Linked DNA regions of Caenorhabditis elegans. The protein of the gene in region 1 interacts with the protein of each later gene in a pairwise test. Each region holds a gene or a part of one and is shown on either strand. Other genes may lie near its edges.

Region 1 (3,325 bases):
TATATTTTTTAAATATTTTTTTAGCTAATGAACATGTTTTCAAACAGTTTAATTTAAAAACAGCCTAATACAAAAACTTGGAAAACTAAGCCTAAGCCTAAGCCTAACCCTAAGCCTAAGCCTACACCTAAGACTACACCTAAGCCTAAGCCTAAGCCTATGCCCAAGTCTAAGACTAAGCCTAAGCCTAAGCCTAGGCCTAGGATAATGAGAGCATTTTCAGACTGCTCTATAAAGCCAAACAAAGATTTTGCAATAATTCATAACGCATTCGATTCACAATAACAAGTTCTTTAATAAAACTATAAAAATGTAAAAAGTTAGGAGTCAAATTTTTATTTATTTAACACTGAAAAATTGGAGTGTGTAGATAATGAGAGCATTTTCAGACTATGTTTTTTCAGAGCTGACGCCAAGCTTATGCCTAAGCCCAAGCCTACGCCTAAGCAAAAGCCATAATTCTGAAAATCTAAATTCAAATGTTAGCATCCAAGTCTGGGCTCAACGGTCCAAGCCTGAAAGCTTAAAAACCTAAAGCCTGAATATTTTTGCAAACATAAGTAAACTGAATTGAAGTTTTATCTGTGATGTACAGTTTTAATTGACAAGAAACATTGCAATCGGGATTAGTTTTTTTGAAAAACTGGATAATAAAAATGAGGGAAAATTAGTTGAAAACACAAGAAAATAATGACAGATTATGAAAAATTGGCAACGAATATAATAAGTTTGGTAAAATTATACGACTGGGGAGGAAGAAGCCGACGATTCTTCGGATGAAGAGGAGCTTGATGGTGACGTGGATGATTGTTTTGTAGTCTGGAAAGTATTAGTTTAGGTGGTTTGGTCAGGTTTAGAAATTTTTTTTTAAATTTAATTTGGTGCGAAATTTTATTTTTATTTTTCAGGCCAAATTTACGGCGCAAAATCGGTGTAGATTTTTTATTTTGAAATTTTTTTAAATTGCAATTTAACTTAATATGTAGGTATTTTAAGTACAAAAATAATCGAAAATTATTTTATTATTTTAAAAATTGAGTTCGTTTTCAGAAAATTAAAAAGTTCTCAGCAAAATTTTAAAATAACAACAAAAACTAACCTTGGAGAAATTTTCCGCTTCCTTTTGCAAATCCGCAAAAATATTGAGCACATTGGCGAAGAGCACCTTGTTCTTCGAAGCCTCCCGCATCTTTTGCTCCACAACATCCTGCTCCAACTCCTGAGCAGCGAGACGACGAAGCTTCTGGAGCAACAAGTTGACTGGGTACTGGTACTCATACCGTCCATCATACTGGCTCTTGACAATTTGCTCGGTACGGCATTCCCGGAATACTCGAATCGGGCAGTCGAGGAAGAGAAGACACTCCAGTGCATAGTACCGGTTGTGCTCTTTGAGCAAGTAGTCAGTGTATTTTCTGACTTGTTGAGCAGGGCTCAGTGGAGCTGGGACTCTTGGGAGAGCAGCATTGGAGACCGGCTTGGTGTGAGATGGCATTTAGAATGAGTTAAATAAAAGGTGAGAGAAGAACTGAGATATGTGGTTAAGAATGACACTAACCTAGACCTAACCCTGTAGGACGCTGCAATTTGGCAACAACAAAAAATCGATATATGGGCGGGGGGGAATGGGCTATGCAACGTGGCAATGGGAAAGCAGAAGGAAACAATGGTTATTGATTGGTTTACGATTGTGAATATATAAATTTGGTACATACGTACATTTTTGTTTGAGAAATAAGGGAGGGTTCTCCCTGAGGAACATGGAAAAAAGTTGTCAAAATTTAGGGGATTTCAGATTTTAGTTTTTAAAAATATTGGAATTTTCAGAAATTTTAATTGGATACTTTAATTCTAACGGAATGTTTAAAGAAGGAGTATTTAGAAAATTTGGAATTTGCATAAATTATTAGGTTGGTCAAAATGTCTTTGCAACTTTTTGAATTTTTTTTGGAGAGAGTATTTATTCAAAGCGAACGAGATTCAATGGGTAATATATTCACCATTAGTGTATATGACTTCTTGCCAACCCAACGAAGGTTGAGCAATACCCTCCGCACAGAACTCCTGAGATTAGGAGGCAAAGAAGTCGTCCCACCACGTTTCGACGATCTTTCAATCATGAAACTTCTGCCCGGTAAGGTGATTCTGGAGAGAGCGGAACAAATGGTAGTCAGTAGGAGTCAAGTCCGGCGAATGCGGTGGGTGAGACAAAACTTGGATTCCGAGTGTCTGGAGCTTCTGGCGGGTCCTCAAAGTTGTATGCGGTCTTGCGTTGTCATAGAGCAGCCTAAATTTTGATTCTCTAGGGTGATGTAATCGATGAGCACGGACCATCTTTTCCAATTGAATAGAGTATAGGCCAGCGTTGATTGTAACGGAGTCTGGAAAAAGTCCTCGGAAAATTACACCCTTACTGTCCCACCAAATTTAGAGAAGCACTTTTTCTCTTGAAGTTCCCCTTTGAGGTCAGGTTTCACGGTTTCCTCGACCGGGACCCACTGTTTCTTTCTGGTATAGTTAACATGCAATACCCATTTCTCATCTCCAGTAGTGATATCCTATACCCAGTCTGTTGTTCGTTTCCTAGTGAGCAGCGAAAAAGAGAGGTCACAAAACAATTTTTCTGAGAATCGGACAAATTGTGAGGAACGAGATGACCGAACTTTTCTACCCTTCCGGTTTCGCGGAGATGGTTGATGATGGTTCTTTGGAGATGCTTGAGAGTCGCAGAAAGTTCACGGTTCGTTGCTCTTGGATCATCTTCCAGGGCTCTCGAATTATCCTTATTGATAGCCAAACGAGACCGACCGGATCTTGGTTCATCATCGAGATCGTAGTTCTTTTTCGTGAACTTTTCGAACCAAAACTTTATGGTATTATAGGTGACAGAATTATTGCCTAACACTGCACACATGTTACCACGAGCTTCGTTGCAATTGCAGCCTTGGGGGAACCCATACAGAAAACCCCTCGGAGGGTGTGACCTTCGGCGAGCAAATTCTCGGTCATTTTGAACAACACCCAAAAGTTTTTTCAAATGTATTAAACATGCACATTACGTACTATGCAAATAAAAAAACAGAATAGGAAAATAACGAGTTAACGCTGAGAAATGAAGAAACATACGAATTTTGCAAAGACTTTTTGACCAACCTAATATTACATTTTACTTTTTTTTGTACTTTTTCAAAATTTCTGCAATTATGGGTTTTCAGGTATTTTTTTTGGAATCTTCCGAAATTGTTTCAGCATTTTAAAGAAGTTTTTTGGAACTTTCAGAAATTTTATACATTTTCTGATTTTTCTAAAGGCTTTTCGAATTTGG
Region 2 (6,605 bases), on another chromosome or scaffold:
TATCCGATTTTTTACTTATGAATATAATTATCCAAAAAACCCGAATATCGTAGCAAACTCCAAAACGTGTTAGATATTTAAAAGTATCTAGTCATTTTGGCAACTTACCAAACTTTCCAAAATTTGAGATTTTTGAACAATTTAGAGCCAATAAAATGTTGAAATACGAATATTCCAAAACTTCTCGAAACAGGTTTCTAACAATTGATTCAATTGATACTGCCTACAGTAGTCTTTGCGGCATTTCATAACTTTGGAGTGTCAGTGATTTACGGAATTGACCAGAACCTACATCTCTGAAATTCTCGTTATGTGAACAAAAACAATTATATTTCCCATTTTAATAGATTTATTCGACCAAAAAAACAAAACGAAAAAATAATTTTAAAAAAGCAAATAAAAATTATTGAAGTCGTCGACTCTGAAAAACGGGGGTTTTATGATTTTTATTTTCAATGTGATAAATTGGAGGGTGGAAAAGGAAAAATATATATAAAAGGTATTTTTAAAAATAATTTGCTTTATTTATAGAAAATGTATAGGTGAGGTTTTGAAACGGAATCACAACCAAGATTTGTTGAAATTGTCTGGGACGTTGGGGGGGGGGGGGGGGGGGGGGGGGTGTAAGCTAAATGAAAACTAAAAAACCCATAACGAAACAAGAAAACAGGAAAACTTTGGTATGCTTGAAAATTTTAAAGCATATGGAAAAATGCTTTAATGAATTTTTTGGTGAATTTTATAATTTCTGTTAATATTTTCAATGACTAGACAATGCCCATCAAAAAGGCTCAATAAAAAAACAATTATGTTCAGTCGAACGGCTCCTCTTTTTTGATGTCACTGTCGTTGAAGAATGATGAGTTGTCGAGTGATCGAGCTGCGTCGGAAGCACACGCAGAATGCACAATCTGTAATGAATCTTGATAAATTCACGAGTTTTGAATAACAAATTTTCACCTTTCCGTGAACATTAACTGTGTCCCTTAATCGCCACGTTTCCTCGTCATCATCATAATACTCGTCAAACTTCTCACCACAAACTGAACATTCTTTGGTTTTAACACCGGAAGATGCTACTCCTGGAAGTGGTTCCTCGGGTTTATCAGCTTCTTGCTCATTCGTTTCATCAGATGCACGTGGTGTAAGCCAAGTGGATGTCGATGGATACCACTGACGATATGGTACAGCTGCCGAATTGTTCGACCCGTGGCGTGCCAAATTTTGCTTCACATGCCAATCCATATGATCTTGCCATTCTTTTGACTTTCCTTGAGAATCATCTAATCTCATTCCACAAAACTTGCAAGCGTCGGCTCTCTTGGTAATCAACGCGTCAACGACCGAGTCGTAACGAATTTGCAAGAGACGAATATTGAAATCTGTGATGGCCGCCGGTGGAGCACTTCGCTTCTCAACACCACTTCCAATTGGAGATGGATCAGATGGTGGTGGTGGTATATTCTGCTGTTTATTCGCTCCACCCCATCTAGCGTTCTGTTGTGGTTGATGACGGTTATGATAACCTCCTCTCTGAAAACAATAAATTATTTAAGAGACTGTAATCCTGATAGTTAATTACCTGTCCAGCATTATTCATTCCCGGAATTGGAAGATTAGCTGGTGGTGGAGTCTGGTTGCGTGGCGAAGATGGCGATCTGGCCGGAGCTGGCAATATATTACGAGTTCTCAAATTTTTCAGATATGAGAGCCAATCCTCCTTCTTCTCCGGCTTCTCCGATGCAATTTCAATCTTCTTCTCCTCGCGCATTTTGTGCAAGAAATGAGTAAGATGATATGCTGGCTCAGGCTCAATGCGAACTTCTGGAGCACTTCCAGTCAATCGGATCTCATGACGACGTCCATTGATCGTTGCAATGATCGGTGGTCCTCCAAATTGACCTGAAAGTTCGAATATGAATTAAAAACTGTGAAAATATGTGTATTTACCTTTGAATGGGTGACCACCAATGTAAAGTTCGCGGGATGGTGCTCCGAACTTGACCATATGCTTTGATCCTAATATGTCAATTTGAGTTGGAGTGTCAAACTGAAGCAAGTGTGGGATTCCATCAATTACGAGGTTTCTTGGCGGTCCAGCGAAATAAATACGATGTGGAGCACCACCACGCTCGATAACTGCAGTATCATCGACAAACATCACTTCATAAGCTTTTCCATCGACAAAGATACGGTTGTTGGCTGGAACATCGAGTTTCGGTTGTTCTGACGAGTAAACGTTCTCTGGAGCTGGAAGGTGTTGCTGTGGAGGTGGAGCTTGAACTGGAACGATTGGTGCCGGATCTTGTGGAGGCGAATTATGATGATATCCTCTTCCCATTCCTTGATGAACTGGTGGAGGTGGAAGTTGTGGATGATGTTGTTGAGGATGTTGGAATGGAGGAGCAGACGAAAGTGGCGGAGCAGGCACAAATGGAGCCACTGAAACAGGTGGTGGCACAGGTATCATAGGACGGATCGGAGCAGCTACAGGGGCAAATGCGTGAGATCCTATCACTGATGTTGGCCTGCAAAATTTTCGATTTTTAAAACAGTTTAGACTAAATACTCACTTCAAAGTCTTTGGTCGGAAATCTTGATCTTGTGCTGATGGAACTGGCGGCTTCTTCGTCAAGCTTATAGATCTGAGATCCTCATCAATGGCTGTCTGTGGCTTTGGTGGTTGTTGTGGCTTCTTGCGAATCGGAGCATTTGGATGCTCGGATGGTGCTGATTTTCGCTTCAATCCAGCCGGTGATGATGATGTCTTGGATGCAGAGCTTGATGGAAGTAGTTTGTCACTGGAAAAAATGTTTTGTTAACTGAAATAAAACTAATCTTTTAAGCGTGTTATTTCGGACTAGCTGATCATGACAAAATTACTGTGAAATTTTATTCAATGTTACACTTTCACACAGATTTATTTTATTTTTTTTTTCATTCATTTTGTTTCTGAATTACTTTTTTTCAAAATTAAAACATCGATTCTTCTCATTACATACCAAATTGTAACACCAAGACACGCCTAAGACATTAAACTTACAGTGGATCCTGTTTTGGTTCTTTCTTCACTTGCTTTTCCTTGTTTACTGTGCCAGGTGATTTCTGTAATAACATAAGCGGTTTCAACAAATATCCCACCCAATTGGAAATAATTTATTTGAACAGTGACGAAGAATATTGTGTTTTTTGCCAATTCTGTCGCTTATTTTCTCAACTTCCATGATTCCGGTGAAAAATGATAGATAAAGCATTTCTTTTTTTTTCATAATAAATAAACGATCAGATGATATGTGGAAAAATAAAGACAAAACATAGAAAGTGATACATTGAAAAACGTGTGAAAATAAAAGTTCACAAGAATATTTTACCGTTTTTTCCACGACCGTCTTTGATGCTGATGCTGCACCAGGTGTGGATGAACCTATGAACTTTGGGTTCACAAATACACGATTCGTTGACGTGGAAGCCGCTGGACTGGTGGCATTGCCTGCTGGTCTACTCTGAGAAGGAGCCATAACTTGTGGATCATCACGAAGTGCACGACCAGTCTGTGGATTTGAAATTGGCCAATTTGGGTCAAGCTTATTGATCTGAAATACAAATATTAATATCATTAGCAATGATATTGCGAAATCGTAGCTCGATTTCAGGATCTGAAATTGAAAGTTTACCTTCATGTCAAGCTCATATAACTTTGAAGGCATGAACAATGTGGTGCTGGCCCATGTGACTCGTATCCTGTACAACGATGTACGGATTCTTTCATCTCCCTGAAATGTTTAGAATTCAAAATGATTTCGAAAAATAATTGCAAGCGAAATTAACGTGACATACTTTGTAGATATTTTTTGCGAAACTTCATTTAAATTTCTCAGCTATACGCGCTAAAATGTCGTGCGAAGTAGCAGGAAAAAGTTTTACACCGAAATTGGAAACAAAACGTTTTAACTTCTCAGGACATTTTGTGGAAAACTACGGTACTCAATCGCGACAAGACCCGGTCTGTAGCTGAGAAAGTTTTGACCTTATCTTCTAGATCCAAAAAGGCGCGCGAAAAATCTGTTAACTACCGCAATGAAAGCTGGCGAAACGTTGTTGGATTGCATTTTTGCGTGCTTTGCTAGATTAGACTAAGCCTTCCGTGAGGGTAAAAAAAAGGTAGGGCACGTTGATACCCTTTTTTACCCTTTACCCGAACAGGGTATTTTATGGACACATTACCCTATGCCTTCACGTAATAATACGAATTTTAAGCATTATTCGCTTTATTTGTAAAATTTTCGTTTTTAGAAATGAAATTTCTAAGAAAACGTTAAAAATGAATTAATACAGGGTAAAACCAGGGCATAGGGTAGGGTAGGGTAGGGCAGAGGGTAGGGTAGGGAGGGTAAAAACTCACCCTCATGGAAGGCTTAGATTAGACAGACCGATGTTTTTTAATTTTGATATATTACCTGTCGGAAAGCATGCTCGAACATGCTTACGATTTTCCTTGCAAACAGTGCATCATAATCGTTCGGCTTCTTAACGTTCTTCAAAATCGAATCACACACGTACATCACTAACAGTTTTTGTGAAGGAGAACACGTTGTCAGATGCCGCTCAATAACTTCAACAATTTGTGGAGCTGCTTTTTTGAAGTCGTCAGCCAGAATAGTTAGCAGATTTATTTGAGTCTTGTTGTTGTTTCTCAATTCGGCCAACGTCTCACGATAGTCTCGTGCTGCCGATTCGACCGATTCCATCATGAATATTGATTGTGATATTTACGAAGGTGAATAAAATAACCCGGATATTCGTTTTCACGTGCTGAAATTAATTATTTTTGAAAAATAAAAACTGCGTGAAAAATACAACGGGAGAAGTCAACGAGATTATAGCACCGTCCCGAGCAAAAACTAAATAACGGCGGGCAGCTTCAAAACTTCCGCACGAACATACAGGAAGTTGTGATGCTCCAAACGCGCAGGCGAGCCAACAGCTTGATACAACAAGCGCGAATATTATGCTAATCGCAACTGAAGAGTAGTCAAGAAACCCAAAGTCTAGCTGACAAAGTGACTTTCCATATATTTTTATTATTTTTTAGAGAAAATGAGGACAAAATCATAAAAGGAAGGGGGATAGGGGAATGGGAAGGGAATGTATATTTTTTAAAGGGTGACTGCACACCGTCTGAGGTCCGCCTCTTCTCGCACCAAACAGTCTGCGCGCTGTCTTTCGAGTCGAGTCCGGCGTATCTGGAAAATATTGATTAGTGACGTGAAAAAATGGATCAATAAACGCAACAAGAAACGAGGAGGTAAAAACAGAGAGAGAGAGAGATTGTGGATGGAATGAAGGAAATTGGTAAAAGGAGATGATGGAGGGGAACATGTACAAGAATTATGTGTATTAGCAAGTAATTTTAATTAAAATAAGATGACAAAATCAGTTAGCAAAAGCACATATAGAGAAAATTGCAAAGAAACGGCGTTATATTTGAAGAAAACTGGGAGAAATGAACGAAAGAGACAGAAAACAGGCAAGAGAGACAAAAGCGCGTGGTAGAGGCGTGTCAATCGATTTTGCGCGGGTCTCGCAGCGACCGGGTGAGTGTGAAGAGGCGCAGAGAACATTTTCGTAGCTGCCAGCAATTGATTCTTGCTGTGAAACGGCTGACGGGAGCCAGGAGGTTTTTACTTGTTCTGATAGTGAGGAATTTTTTTAAGTATGAGAAATTATATTAAAGAGCAATTCCCGAAAAATTAATTGACTTCAAAAAGCATGGTACGTCGCTTTTAGATAAGGAATGTGTCTTTAAATGTTCAATACAATTATTTGTACAAATTCGGATGAACTCGCTTCAAGATTTTAATCGAAACGAGTTTTAATCCATATTAATTTGAAAGTGAGAGTTGAAAAAAAGATGCAAACGAAAGAAGAACGGGACAAGAGCGAAGAAGCGAAGCCCAATGATTCGAAATTTTGCGAAGAAAACGGGACATCGGTGTTTCGCTACCGCAGAAAAATATTGAGAAAAATAGTGAAAAATAAGGATACCGATGCTGAAACGGCTAGTTTTTATTCAATTAGAACATAAAAGTTTGAATCTACATTTTTATTTAAGAAGCAAGAAAAAAAAATTTAAAATTTACAAATAAATACTCTGATTACAGTGTCACTAAGTTTAAAAAAATCAAGATTTGTACTGTAAAACCTGCGGTGGTGAGTGTGGGAATTCCGGTGGTCCATAAAGCTTTTCAGCGCGGTGCAAAAATGCTGAAACCATAGTTTTTACGACTTTATCGAAGAAAAGATGAGCGATTCTTGAGTGAAAAGCTGACTCGAATTCAAAAACTAAGTCATAGTGAAGAGTACATGAGCGTTCAACAGATGGTTTTCCCTGAAAAAGGTGAACGTTAATAGAGGTTTAACAAAAATTGATGGAACGAACTTTTCCAAACCGGAACGTAGTGTCAAGTGTGCGGAAGAGATTATCATTTTCTATGACGACAGACTGTAAACACATAGAATATCGAAAACCGAAACCTTCTTAGAAATCTTTGAATAAACTAACATGAACAACAGATGGCTTAATGTGAATCACACGACTCGAATAT

Evidence for each region. The genes of interacting proteins can lie anywhere in the genome.
Region 2: the proteins of tag-276 (region 1) and pcf-11 interact in a two-hybrid assay, tested with the Caenorhabditis elegans proteins (one large-scale study listed by BioGRID).

What each region holds. Positions count from the first base shown.
Region 1 is NC_003280.10:12,247,584-12,250,908, forward strand, and holds tag-276 (uncharacterized protein), read right to left. Parts: upstream 1,560-3,325; 5' UTR 1,496-1,559; coding exon 1,100-1,495; intron 820-1,099; coding exon 739-819; 3' UTR 542-738; downstream 1-541.
Region 2 is NC_003281.10:5,023,551-5,030,155, reverse strand, and holds pcf-11 (Polyadenylation and cleavage factor homolog 11), read right to left. Parts: upstream 4,813-6,605; 5' UTR 4,749-4,812; coding exon 4,458-4,748; intron 3,774-4,457; coding exon 3,675-3,773; intron 3,594-3,674; coding exon 3,372-3,593; coding exon of another isoform or gene 3,126-3,371; intron 3,106-3,125; coding exon 3,044-3,105; intron 2,802-3,043; coding exon 2,574-2,801; intron 2,529-2,573; coding exon 1,951-2,528; intron 1,903-1,950; coding exon 1,583-1,902; intron 1,534-1,582; coding exon 961-1,533; intron 912-960; coding exon 813-911; 3' UTR 509-812; downstream 1-508. Other genes in the region: R144.13 (Coenzyme Q-binding protein COQ10 START domain-containing protein), read right to left, coding at 6,182-6,388, 6,440-6,502, 6,563-6,605.